2 linked regions of the Neodiprion lecontei genome follow. The protein of the gene in region 1 purifies or fractionates together with the protein of each later gene. This does not show direct contact. Links are inferred from orthologs where the notes say so. Each region holds a gene or a part of one and is shown in the gene's direction. Other genes may lie near its edges.

Evidence for each region.
Region 2: the proteins of serine/threonine-protein phosphatase 4 catalytic subunit (region 1) and T-complex protein 1 subunit beta purify together in Homo sapiens (affinity purification with mass spectrometry; 4 studies listed by BioGRID and IntAct, with this or other methods). This does not show direct contact. The link is inferred for Neodiprion lecontei from reciprocal best matches to the Homo sapiens genes PPP4C and CCT2.

The regions. Positions count from the first base shown.
Region 1 is NC_060261.1:25,917,842-25,925,492, reverse strand, and holds serine/threonine-protein phosphatase 4 catalytic subunit, read left to right. Parts: upstream 1-1,626; 5' UTR 1,627-1,777; intron 1,778-2,384; 5' UTR 2,385-2,410; coding exon 2,411-2,560; intron 2,561-3,406; coding exon 3,407-3,559; intron 3,560-3,758; coding exon 3,759-4,010; intron 4,011-4,759; coding exon 4,760-4,998; intron 4,999-5,428; coding exon 5,429-5,558; 3' UTR 5,559-7,212; downstream 7,213-7,651. UniProt on the Homo sapiens protein: Protein phosphatase that is involved in many processes such as microtubule organization at centrosomes, maturation of spliceosomal snRNPs, apoptosis, DNA repair, tumor necrosis factor (TNF)-alpha signaling, activation of c-Jun N-terminal kinase MAPK8, regulation of histone acetylation, DNA damage checkpoint signaling, NF-kappa-B activation and cell migration.
Region 2 is NC_060265.1:2,248,832-2,254,160, forward strand, and holds T-complex protein 1 subunit beta, read left to right. Parts: upstream 1-1,524; 5' UTR 1,525-1,677; coding exon 1,678-1,680; intron 1,681-2,087; coding exon 2,088-2,397; intron 2,398-2,512; coding exon 2,513-2,946; intron 2,947-3,145; coding exon 3,146-3,223; intron 3,224-3,378; coding exon 3,379-3,603; intron 3,604-3,701; coding exon 3,702-3,879; intron 3,880-4,059; coding exon 4,060-4,263; intron 4,264-4,343; coding exon 4,344-4,516; 3' UTR 4,517-4,815; downstream 4,816-5,329. UniProt on the Homo sapiens protein: Component of the chaperonin-containing T-complex (TRiC), a molecular chaperone complex that assists the folding of actin, tubulin and other proteins upon ATP hydrolysis.

The DNA.
Region 1 (7,651 bases):
TGGCGGCCACAAAGTGAGATAAATAACCGGCCGTGAAATCAACCACACCCACTACCTTCGTTGCCAGACCTGTATGTAAGACCGTGACTAAGGGCGTGTTCGGAAATTGACTAAAAGTACTGTCAGTATTGAAAATCGACAGTATACGTCACTTGGACTATACCATTTTCAGTACTGACAGTATTTTCAGTCAATTTCCGAACACGCCCTAAGTAGGCCTCTCCCTCACTAGCGCTAGCGGCGAAAATTCACAACATCGGCTTCGTTTTCGAGCACGGTTTTACAGCCGGAGTTCCCAGACCTGTCTATAAGACCGTGTTCACAAGAGAATAGTGTCGCAGTTCTCTTGTCAAATGAAATACTGTGTGCTGACTCCGTCGGTACTCTGATATGGAGACACGTATTGAACAGGCAACACGTCATACATGGTTGCAACAGCATTACCAACGAACCAGGGAGACTAGAGTGAAGGAATGGACACAGCATAGGAGAATAAGTAGTAACGGCGTCCTCAAAAACCCGTTCTTCAATTAGTTCTCCGCTCTGCCATTAGCATCACATAGGTCGAAAAGATCGTAAATATAGTAATAAAATTAGTCCACACCACGCTCTTACATACAGGTCCGCAAAACTAGTAGGGTGAGCTATGACTCAGATAATGAGGCAAAACCGTGGTTCTCGTCTTCGCCGTCTGCAGCGCTGCCCCCTCGGGGTGAGCCAATCATAAATCAGATCCGAACAGCCGATTTTTCGGAATCAACAATCCTGAATAACACTCAAAAATGAAGAAAGATGCGAATAAAAAATGATTGAGATGTTTACTAGCATTCCATGGCGGGCGTGATAATTGTTTTATTTTAACGGAATCCTCAAATGTTTAAGTCAATAAAATCCATAAACATCAAGCGAGGGCTCACAACTTTTGAGACAGTTTGAGATCTTGTGTAGATGATCCACCGTTTACACACTTTACACTGAGTTATGAACTGTCAAAAACTTCGATGAGCAGGTTATCTTATCGGTATATATCTATATCTATCATACCCCGGGCCAATGGCGCCCCTAGCGGATGGATAGAAAACAAGACCGTGTGCCTCACTAACGGTGACACCCCCTACCACTCAAAAGTGCCGGAGTTACCAGACCTGTACGTAAGACCGTGGCCCACACGATGAAAGTGACCGATCCGCGCTTGCGCAGTAGAATGAAAAGTGACGCACCTAAATGATAGTATATTAGAAGTTAAGGAGACTATTTCGAGAATTGTCAAAACTTTTTTTTCATAAATAACGGGACAAAATTGTCCTGAGCTTCTCTCGATTCATTACGCGAAAATGATAAATTACAGATTCCTAATGTTTCAGCTTATTTTTATTCAACGAAATTTGATACACCCATTTTAATAAACATAATAAATTAATTAACACTGCACATTAATAACAAAAAGCTTTACACATGTAAACATAAACACTGCACGAATTTTGCCACATTGAGGTTAGAAAATAAGTAGTAACAGTGTGTCTGATCTAAATATATATATATATGACTACGATCTTTTTGATCGCAGCGCCGCCGTTTTAGGCCGGGATTTCGTGTTCATTTCTGAAGCACGCTGTGTCCACTCCTTTACTCTAGTCTCCCTGCAACGAACGACGCGCGCACCACGCAATGCATTGTCGGAAATAAATGGAGACCGGCAGGAGATTACGGTGAGAAAAGCCAGCTTCTTCGAGTGATTAGAGTCTCGTCGAAAAATAATCCGTTCCTCATCTAGACGGTAAGGGAATTAGTATTTTACAGTCTGTCCATGAGCTGCATGCTTGGCACTTAGTGCTTTTATTTCTCCGTGTTTTGCTCCGATATTACACTAAACACGCAGGTTCTCGTATATCCATCGTAATTAGTAGATTTATAAACTATTTTCACTTAGAAACTCAGTTTTTTTTAACGAAATGCTCTTACCGTATCTTGGCTGCTATTTCACTCGTACTGTGAAACATCCTTCTATTTCATTATTTACCTAATCTTATTGCTGTTTCAAAAATCGCTCGATATCTTTACGCGACTTGTGTCCGTTCATATCTTCCTTGACTAACCTGCTTTTGCATTCGATGTAATCATAGTGCTTTACCTCAGGTCGTTTTCCGACCAAAAACCTCAATCTGCCTCACAATTTACCTAACCCAAACATATCTGCCTAAACTGGCCCGTCATGATTATTCAACAATTTAACTGAACTTGGAACACCGCGTTCAATATTTCAGGTTAGATTGCATCATTAGCTGCCTTTAGAGTATGCAAAGTTTGATCTTTTATAAACCAGAAATTTCAACAAAGTAAAAATGTCTATATAACATTTTATTTGTATTTTTATATGTTTACAGTTTAGGAGCAGTAAACTAACGGAGCAATGTCCGATTCCAGTGATTTGGATCGGCAAATTGAACAGCTGAAAAAATGCGAGATTATCAAAGAAGCCGAAGTTAAGGCTCTCTGTGCTAAAGCTAGGGAAATCCTGATCGAAGAAAGTAATGTGCAGCGAGTCGACTCACCCGTTACTGTAAGTTGGTCGTTGAACCCGTAAATGTGCCAATATTCGATTAATTCCAAAGTCACTATAAATGCGTGAAGTGTATCAGAAATCTGTTTGAAATTTCATTAATTTATTTTTTAAAGTGAAGACCACATTACTACAACAAGATTCTATTAGCCATACGATTCTCAAAATGTATTTCACCTAAATATTGATGGCAGAATTGAGAACACAATTGTAGGCTGCATATTGGTCCTCAAATTCTACACAGAACACTCAACGTTTCTTTTCTCTTCTGAGGAGTTAAGAACACTAATTTCACGGGTTCCCTTGCAGTAAATATAAAAATCCACTGTTTTCTCTTAAACCCAGCCAATATTAGCTGTTCGTTTGATGACTTAATTTTTTTCATTATACAATTGTTAACCTTTAAGGAAAAAATCGCCAGAAAATTCTAATATTTCATGAATTACAGTTACAAAATGGACATGTCATACACTTTGCAAGAGTTCGTAATTCCTATAATTGATATTAATCCTGATTTTCATAGAATTTGGCATGTACCTTCTTCTTATCATTTAAATTTTCCACATTTTGCAAAATTTTTTATCAATAGGCTGAAGAACATCAAAACGATTTTGCCTATTGAAAGTCAATCCTAGACTTTTCTGTAATTCCAACTCCTAAAAACCTATCGTTCTCCAGGATCTACTTCCCAGTCTAAAAATTGCTTCAAAAAAATGTCTCAGGCAGATTATTCACAAATTAACAAATTTTTTGTTGATGAATACAAAGTTTTACTTTTTCTTTTAATCTTTTGAATTGGTTAGCAATTCATTCCAACAAGATTAACCATAAATTTATATTTTTTAGGTTTGCGGTGATATACACGGACAATTTTATGATCTAAAAGAGTTGTTCAAAGTGGGTGGCGATGTTCCTGAAACGAACTACCTTTTCATGGGCGATTTTGTTGACAGGGGATTTTACAGTGTTGAAACATTCTTGCTTCTTCTTGCTTTAAAAGTACGATGGTATTCTTACAAGAAACTTCAGCTATATTGATTACACACTATACATTAAAAACTACTAAAAATAAGTATTAAATAAATGATATAATAAATATGTTAAGCGAAATATCAGAGTTAAAAATTTAACGAAAGTTATCCAGTGTACACAATTATGACTCTTTTTATTTTCAAATCGTGAATAACAATGTTTGCAGGTTCGCTATCCCGACAGAATAACCCTGATCCGTGGTAATCATGAATCGAGACAGATAACGCAGGTTTATGGTTTCTATGACGAATGCTTGCGCAAGTATGGAAGCATAACAGTGTGGCGATACTGCACAGAGATATTTGATTACCTGTCCCTGTCGGCGATAATCGATGGAAAGATATTCTGCGTTCACGGTGGTCTTTCACCTAGTATTCAAACACTGGACCAAATTAGAACAATAGATAGGAAACAAGAGGTATGTTGTTTAATACGGATTATGCTTTATCTAAAAATTAGCGTCAATGCAAATTCGACAATTAAGAAAATATAAAAGTTAAGGAAGATGGTTAACCACAAATCTACTTTTTCATCAATTTTATTACAAAATAATTATTTATTGAGCATTTATCAAATTACTATATTCAGAGCTAAGAAGAGCTCTTTGAAAAAACGAGAATAGAAAATACTGCAATCACCTATAAAGTACAGGTTACATATTGATGGTTTATTTCAATTAATTTGAAAATGGTTGAAAATCTAGTAGCTTCATTCAATTTCATTCCACAAAAGCTCATTTTATTCGGAAGACCATTTTCTACAAAGTCACTGAAATAAATTTTCTTTTTTCCTCATGTCGTTAAATTAGATATTCACGGATTGCGTCAGGTGAAAAAAATGTTTTAGTTAATTTGTAGGAATTAGTCTCCTGAATAAAATGAGCCATCATCGAGTGAAATCGAGCGAATCTACTAAGTTTTTAACCGATTTTGAAGTAACTCGAAACAACGCATCGATATTTAAGCTTTTGTTTATCATGTCAGTATTTTCTACTTTTGTATTTTTGAAGAGATTTTCTCACCATATGTATATAATATCTGCATAAATACTCTGAATACAATTATTTTGCAATAAAATTGATGAAAAGTATTCATTTATGGCTGACCAACTACCTTGAGATTTTGTCACCACCACGAATTCAATTCAATTCGTTCACAATAATTTCAGGTACCACACGACGGTCCAATGTGTGATTTGCTCTGGTCAGATCCTGAGGATACGCAAGGATGGGGCGTTTCTCCTCGAGGCGCTGGATATTTGTTTGGTAGCGACGTTGTTGCACAGTTCAACTCTGCTAATGACATAGACATGATTTGTCGAGCCCATCAATTAGTCATGGAAGGGTACAAGTGGCATTTTAATGAAACAGTCCTTACGGTTTGGTCAGCGCCAAACTATTGCTACAGGTAATTTTTCTTCTTATATAATTAACCATTGAGTCACTGTAATACCCTTCTATACAATTTAACAACAGTATTCAATCAAGAGTATCAAAATATTGGGAATGCGTTTTAAAAATATTTTCTCAGAGATAAATCTTATATTTCATAGAAGCTTCTGATGACAGGTATTTAATTTTTGTTGTCTGATATCACCTTACCACTTCAAACCTTTGACCTTACAATCAGCTTCATAGTCTACTACTTTGAAAATATCTGAAACGTAGCGTAATGCCAAAAGACACATTTCAATCATTTTCCTGATTGTCGAGATTTTATCGACACAAAAGTGCAACAGTAATACCACACTGGACCCGATACTCTAATAGACAGACAGATGGAATTTTTTTATTTCAATACTGATCAATTTTAAATGTTGCATTCTTACTTCATACAGATGTGGTAACGTAGCAGCGATATTAGAACTGAATGAACACCTCCAAAGAGATTTTACCATATTTGAAGCAGCACCGCAAGAGAGTCGAGGAATTCCGAGCAAGAAGCCTCAAGCTGATTACTTTCTGTGAGATTGACTTATTTGGCAAGCAACGTGCTGCACTGCAGTTAAACCTCGACTCGGAGTCAGTTCGTATCTTTACGTTCGCTGAAATTGTACTAATTTTGAATGCATCGGCTTAGTACGATGACACGGTCAAAGTTTAATTGTAAACAGCATCTAAGTGGAAGAAAAATAGTCTTAATTAAACCAATATGAAGTAACGTATTTCCGAGCAGATTTACCAATCTTGCGATTTCTAGTTCACCATGTTATTCCGCATTGGATTTCACCGTTTTAAACAAATCTTGGCATTTGTTGTATCAAATTTGTCCTGTCCGTAAAGGGTTTTTCCATTTTGTAGCCAAAATGTCGTTAAATCTTGCGAAAGGAAACGATTATACGTTTGTTTTCGGATCAATGAGCCTTAGTGCTTAAGTCAAAAGTCAGTCGAAGAGAAAAACTCGTTCAAAAAATCTGCAATATTGTTTGCACCAATGATAGCAAACGCAAATAAAACAACATCCCTACTACGTAATAGAAATGATTATTAGCAAATTCGGATCACACACACTAAAGTCGTCAATAAGGTTGATGAAGTGAAAAGGTTGCATAAATATAGTGTTTCAATCAATTTACTCTGATGTTTTTCATCGAATTCTAATGTGTTTGTGCTCATCATACTAGCTGTCCAAAATTCCACAAATTGTGTGAAAAACATTCCAGAAATTTCACATTCTAGTATACACTTACAATACACAAATGTAACTGTTGACGAACATCTGTTATATCGTACTTATATAAAAATACTTTTATTCACTCTGAGGATTACTTGAAGTAACATTTTTTCTAGGTTATTTAGAAGTCTCTATAATGAACAAATAATGCCATAAACATTAGAATCGGATTAAAAAAAACTCAGTTTTATGTTTTTTAACGTTCTAAGTATAAAACTTTATCTTGAATTGTTGATATCTTAGCTTATGTTATTCGGTTTGTTCACATTGATTTCCATTACACAGATATTAATGGTCTTTCATACGCGTTTACCACAATTGGTGCACATAACATTGTTGGATATTTTTGAATGGTTTCTTATCTTCTGCGAACGTTTAATGCAGTCTCTACGGCCCATTCATCTGCAAAAGCACATGTGCTTGTGAAGTTATTGTGAGTTTACAATTTACAGCGAGGGATGCTTTTGGCCCAAAATCTATGATTCAATGTCCATTGTTATAGGACTTGATATTGAATAATAAATGCATTATATTAAGAATATCTACGTGAAAATATATTGATTGTGAATTCGATCAGACAGGATCATGCTGTATCTAAATTTGAAGCATTTAAATGGAATGTTAATGTGATTTTAAACTTTCACTCTCCGCATTACACCCAATTTACGTAATCGGTCACAAAGTTTGTACAAATCCAATATATTCCGGAAGGTCTGTTCAAATGGGTGATTTTAAAATTGCGTTACATACATACATACATAAATACATACTTTTCGAATAACAGTCGTTATGAGATCAATGAACCAAACTTGAAAGTCTGCTTAGCGATAAAATTGATTGTAATGTCAATTCCCCAGTCACATGTCAACTGATATTTCTTTTCAATATTGACTTATCCGTCATTGTAATAATACGCCTACCACTTCATTTAATAAACAGTAAAAGTAATTATCACTTTTTACGTACTGTCAAAGGGTATATTATTATCTGATGCTTGCTAGAGCCTGTTTTTTAATTCGTAAAATAGAGCTAATCGCGTTCTAGGTAGTAACTATTTTTTACCGACTATTGTAGACTTATTTTAAACTAGTTTGTACGTAACAGTGGTACAATAAAATTAAGGAATAATTTTTACAATTACTTGGTTCTTTTCGTTGTGGTCATAATCCTACGATTATTATTAATGCTATTATTAATAATGTAAATATACGGACATTTGTACGTCTTTTTCTGTGAAAGTTATAATCTAATATTATTCTTTTGAGAAAATTCTTCTCAAATACGAATGAAAAAATTTGGACGAGGGATAAAAAAAAACTTGTCCAAAGATAAAGTGAAAATAAAATCATAATTGTTGTTTTCAATTATACAATGTGTCAAGTGGGTG
Region 2 (5,329 bases), on another chromosome or scaffold:
CGCACCCTTACTCGGTTTCGCTGGCTCTTGTTACTCTGACTTAAAAACGGGTTTTGTAACTTCGGGTGCTTGGAACAGAGTTGCGGAACCGTTTGAAGAAAATATTTTTCAATTACCTTCCAGCGCAAAACCTGTATTACATACAGTCCAAATGGGAAGTATACAGTTTCTGATCATTCAAAATTCTGCAGATATTAAAAATTATTGAAATTTCAAGCGGCATGTGCCAGACCATCCAAATGCAATCCAACTCGAAAACTGAATAATCTTTCAAACATTCAATCTGTGGTCGTTTGTGTCAATGAAATCTCAGAAACACATTTGAAAATAGGGAAAAATAAATTCAAATAAAAAAATGAATTCATCTATAGGAACGTGATTTAAACCGAAAGTCTGTACTCGACAAACATACACATACGCATATCCTCGACCCGCCTATCGTCTAACTGAAGCTATTGTCGACGCTACCGGAGTTAGGGCGAGCAAGGTGACGAGGGGAGAGAAGTAGACAGCTGCGAGGGACCGTTACGCTGTGAACGCGCAACCTGCGCACCCCGCAGACAACACCAATTTGGGGTGCGAAATACATACATTAGAAGAAGGGGGATGCAGGGACGCGAACGTCCCGAAGCCAACGATAAGGGGAGATAAAATGGAAGTTTGAGTGAAAAAATCCGGACCAATCCAAGCAGGAATTTATTTGCAGTTAATTTAACAAGTGCGTAAGACGGGGTTTTACGGTATGAAGGTAACGTACGTGGTGCAAGCATTCTGTATATACAAAAAACTTGACACTGGTACGGCATTTATACGTATAAACATGCTCAATGCGTTTATAATCATATCAATAGCTATGTTATACTGATGAGTCAGCTGAAACGCGCCGCTCTGGAATTCTAAAACAGTTTTGTGTGGTAACCAAGCCAGCTTCGTATATCCTTTGCATTCTTCTTGCGCATTCCTGCAATATGACTTCGAATGAGTCAAGCACGCGGGCATTAGCCATGAATAGTTCTCGTCGACCTCACCAATACCAGATGTTACTACTGACAGCTACTGAACTCTAACAGAGTCCAGCATTGAATTTCTACGCCTGCAATTACTATTAAAATATCGTCGCATGTATGACCAGTTGCTAACAATTAGGTTCACGAACAAGGTAAATTGCTTGCAACAAGGTCTTCGACATTCGCCTACGATCAGGCGTAACGTCATAAGTTGCCTATGATCAGGAGTAAAATGGAAAACATTGGACGTCCGTAAAGAAAGAAATTCAGGATTTTTTACGTAGGGAAAAAAACCAAAATTGCGGAAGAAACATGTTTTTGAGTCTGTTAAATTGTTCCATTCGCAATTGAAGGCATTATTTTACTCAATTCAGATGTGGGACGACGTCCTACGATGCAGAATGACCATAATTGGTCTTGAAATTGGAAAGATGGAATCAAGTCAATATGAGTGGTGGTATCTAGCGGTCGGAAGAATCACTTGGGGCTCACAGATCTCGCGATTGGTCGCGAGAGCTGCGCGAAGGCAAGGCTTCTAGTTGTTTCTGCACGGTGCGATTCGTCGGCCCTTCGTTGTTCCAAGATCAGCATCATTCAACATCACGGCGCCCGACATCGAAGCGGTGATTTCTGAATTTGGTGTTTAGTACGCGATAACGAACAATTAACGATGGTCAGTACTGCATTTAGCTAACTAATAAACTAGCCTAAGTCTCGTTCGAATCTCGTTCCTCGTTACCCCCGGATATAAAATCCTCAAAATCCAAACCCAACGATGGGCGAAGTCGATCCTCCCACGACTGACTGTCCGGTGTCCGCATCAAAATGATGGCGAATCGCGTGACACGAAATGCACGTGTCTCGAGCATCACAGGATTGATACAGGAATTCGGAGACGTTGTCTTCGACGATATGATCGCGTGGTATTGAGCTGCACCGCGGACTTCATTAGGCACACCCTGAATCTCCGTGTCTCGCCTTTGCTTGTCTACTACGGCAACCTAACCTCTCCTGCACATTATGAATCCGGCGGATGATATTCTTTTTAACAAAAATATGAGTGAGCAAACATTTTTTTAGGTGTCACTTAATCCTGTCAGGATATTAAAGAATGAGGCGGAAGAGGAGAAGGCAGAAATAGCACGGCTGAGTTCTTTTGTTGGAGCCATCGCTATTGGCGAACTGGTCAAATCCACTCTAGGCCCTAAAGGCATGGACAAGATTCTTGTCGCTCATGGACGATCAGCTGGTCAAGTTCAGGTTACCAATGACGGGGCCACTATCCTCAAGAGTGTCGGTGTTGATAACCCTGCAGCAAAAATACTTGTGGACATGAGCCGAGTGCAGGATGACGAAGTTGGCGACGGCACAACTTCTGTAACAGTATTGGGTTTGTTATTCATTTATTTGTCTATTGAGTTCAATCAATTGTTTTGAAGACAGCATTAATAGTTTGCAATCCATCACAAATTAAATTGTTTTTTTGTTTTTCTGAAACCTAACAGCGGCTGAATTGCTAAAGGAAGCAGAAAAGTTGATAGATCAGAAGATTCATCCGCAGACAATAATTGCTGGCTGGCGTAGCGCTACTACGGTTGCCAGGGAGGCACTACATAACACGGCGACAGATAATTCAGCGGATCCTGAGACTTTCCGCAAAGATCTTATGAACATTGCACGAACAACGCTTAGTTCAAAGATTCTGTCTCAGCATAAAGAACACTTTAGCAAGCTGGCTGTTGATGCTGTACTGCGTCTCAAAGGCTCAGGCAACTTATCTGCTATACAAATAATAAAAAAACGGGGTGCCACTCTGGCTGATTCATTCCTTGATGAAGGTTTCCTTCTCGATAAAAAACCTGGAGTTCATCAGCCCCAGCGTATCACCGATGCTCGTATTCTGATTGCCAATACCCCCATGGATACTGATAAAATCAAGGTATAAATTAAAATAAAACAATTTTAATTGACTGGGCATTCTTCGAAACTTCTGTTCCAGTTCTATATAAATTGAATATCTTGAATGTAGTAGCTATGCTTGTCACAGCATTTTTTATTGAAATAACACGATACACTGTACTGATACGTGTGATTTCGTGTTTATTTGCATTTTTATTAATTTATTAATTATCTTTCAGGTCTTCGGTTCAAGGGTACGTGTCGATTCGATGGCAAAGATTGCAGAGCTAGAGACTGCAGAAAAGGAGAAGATGAAGGTATTGAAATAACGTCAACATTCGCATTTTCACGTATAAGTTTACTTAATTATTCGCAAAAATATGAGGCTTACGTGTAATGGCCAGAACTAGACGATTCCGTACCAACTAATCAACTTTATATCCTCTGAAATGATGAATTGCTTCCCAACCAGGATAAAGTTGACAAAATAGTGAAGCATGGCTGCAATGTCTTCATAAACAGGCAGTTGATCTACAACTATCCAGAACAGTTATTCGCTGACGCTGGTTTGATGGCCATTGAGCATGCAGATTTTGATGGTATCGAAAGACTCGCCCTTGTAACTGGAGGAGATATAGTCAGTACCTTCGATCATCCCGAACTGGTCAAACTTGGCAAATGTGATTTAATAGAGCAGGTGTGTCTCTAGATCTTGGATACTATAAGTATGCCTTGCAACCTATTTAATTCAGAAAATTGTATCAACAATTCTGATCATCGTTTGAATCACTACAGGTTATGATTGGAGAAGACTCTCTTCTTCGTTTTTCGGGTGTAGCTCTCGGTGAAGCTTGCACCGTTGTCATCAGAGGCGCTACTCAACAAATCCTAGATGAAGCTGAGCGTTCATTACACGACGCTCTCTGCGTACTGGCAGCTACAGTACGCGAGTCGCGTATCGTATTTGGAGGAGGTAAAAAATTTCTCATGTTTTACCAAAACGCCGGTGCAAAAATAATTTGGTTGCTGCGTTGAATACTCGGATTTTATTCAAAATGTTACGCAAACAAATGGGAGTGCGCGCTCCACAATTTAGTAAGAGCACACAACAGTTTTTTCCTTGTAATCCTAAGCCTTATAAAAATCCTAACAGGTTGCAGCGAAATGGCTATGGCTTGTGCAGTGATGAAAGCTGCCACTGCTACCCCTGGAAAAGAGGCTGTTGCCATGGAAGCGTACGCTAGAGCTCTTCAGCAGTTACCTATAGTAATTGCAGACAACGCGGGTTACGACTCAGCTCAGCTAATCAGCGAGCTCAGAGCCGCGCATAATTCGGGAGCCTCAACAATGGGACTTGGTTAGTATTGAATTTCAAGGCCGAATCCTCAGAATCGATATTCACAGGATAACTATAATGTTTCGTATTTCCTACTACAGATATGGAGGAGGGTAAAATCGGCTGCATGAAAAAACTCGGAATCACAGAGTCGTGGGCTGTGAAGCGACAAGTCGTCCTGAGTGCGTCTGAAGCCGCCGAAATGATACTCCGAGTTGACAACATTCTTAAGGCAGCACCGCGAAAACGCGTCCAGGACCGTGGTCACTGTTAAACGGGGCGCGCTTTCCGTTTCAATTCTTTGTAATTTCATTAATTGTCCATTAAATTGAACTGCGCTTCTCCGCATCATAGGTGACGACTAAAACGCGTAACACGCTTATTTAACCGAACACAACTACACGCATTTGTAAACCGGCGACGTGAATCGTCGCCGATTATTATCATTATAATTTTACTTATTAACGAAACACTTCTATGTTCGATATATCGAACATAACAATAAATTCGTTTTCATGTATGTATATGTATAGCGAAATATGTATACGTACATGTATATCGTTTTGTACCTAATATTTTCTTATTCAACAAATCCATATTCATACAAACCTAGAAAATTACAATTGGGAAAGTTGATTCGAAACCCGAAACTCGCAATGAAACATTTGCTACTCAAGTGGGCACAATTACCTAAAAGGGTGAAAAATTGTACCAAATTTCATGTGTGACATGATTAAAATTAATTTACGGTTTTACCATTATACTGATCCGTAGGTTTCGAAAAATGATTACATAATCATTATTCACATATGAACAGTAGTGCTCAAAATACGTTGGATTAGAGTTGATCAGACTGCAGAATAATAAAAATTGAGCGGTCTCTTGGAAAACGAAGAATCCCGGGCTCACAGAGTCGAAGTTCGACAAGTCGTTTGCTGATATAATCGCCGAGTCGATGGACTGTTGGCGCGCTGCGATCGGAGATGAGGAAACTGTCGAGCAACAGTAAAGAGACGGTGGATAACATTGGCAGCGAAGGTGCCAAAGATAGAATCACGGTAGAATATAAATCATCGCTGGCGTTCGC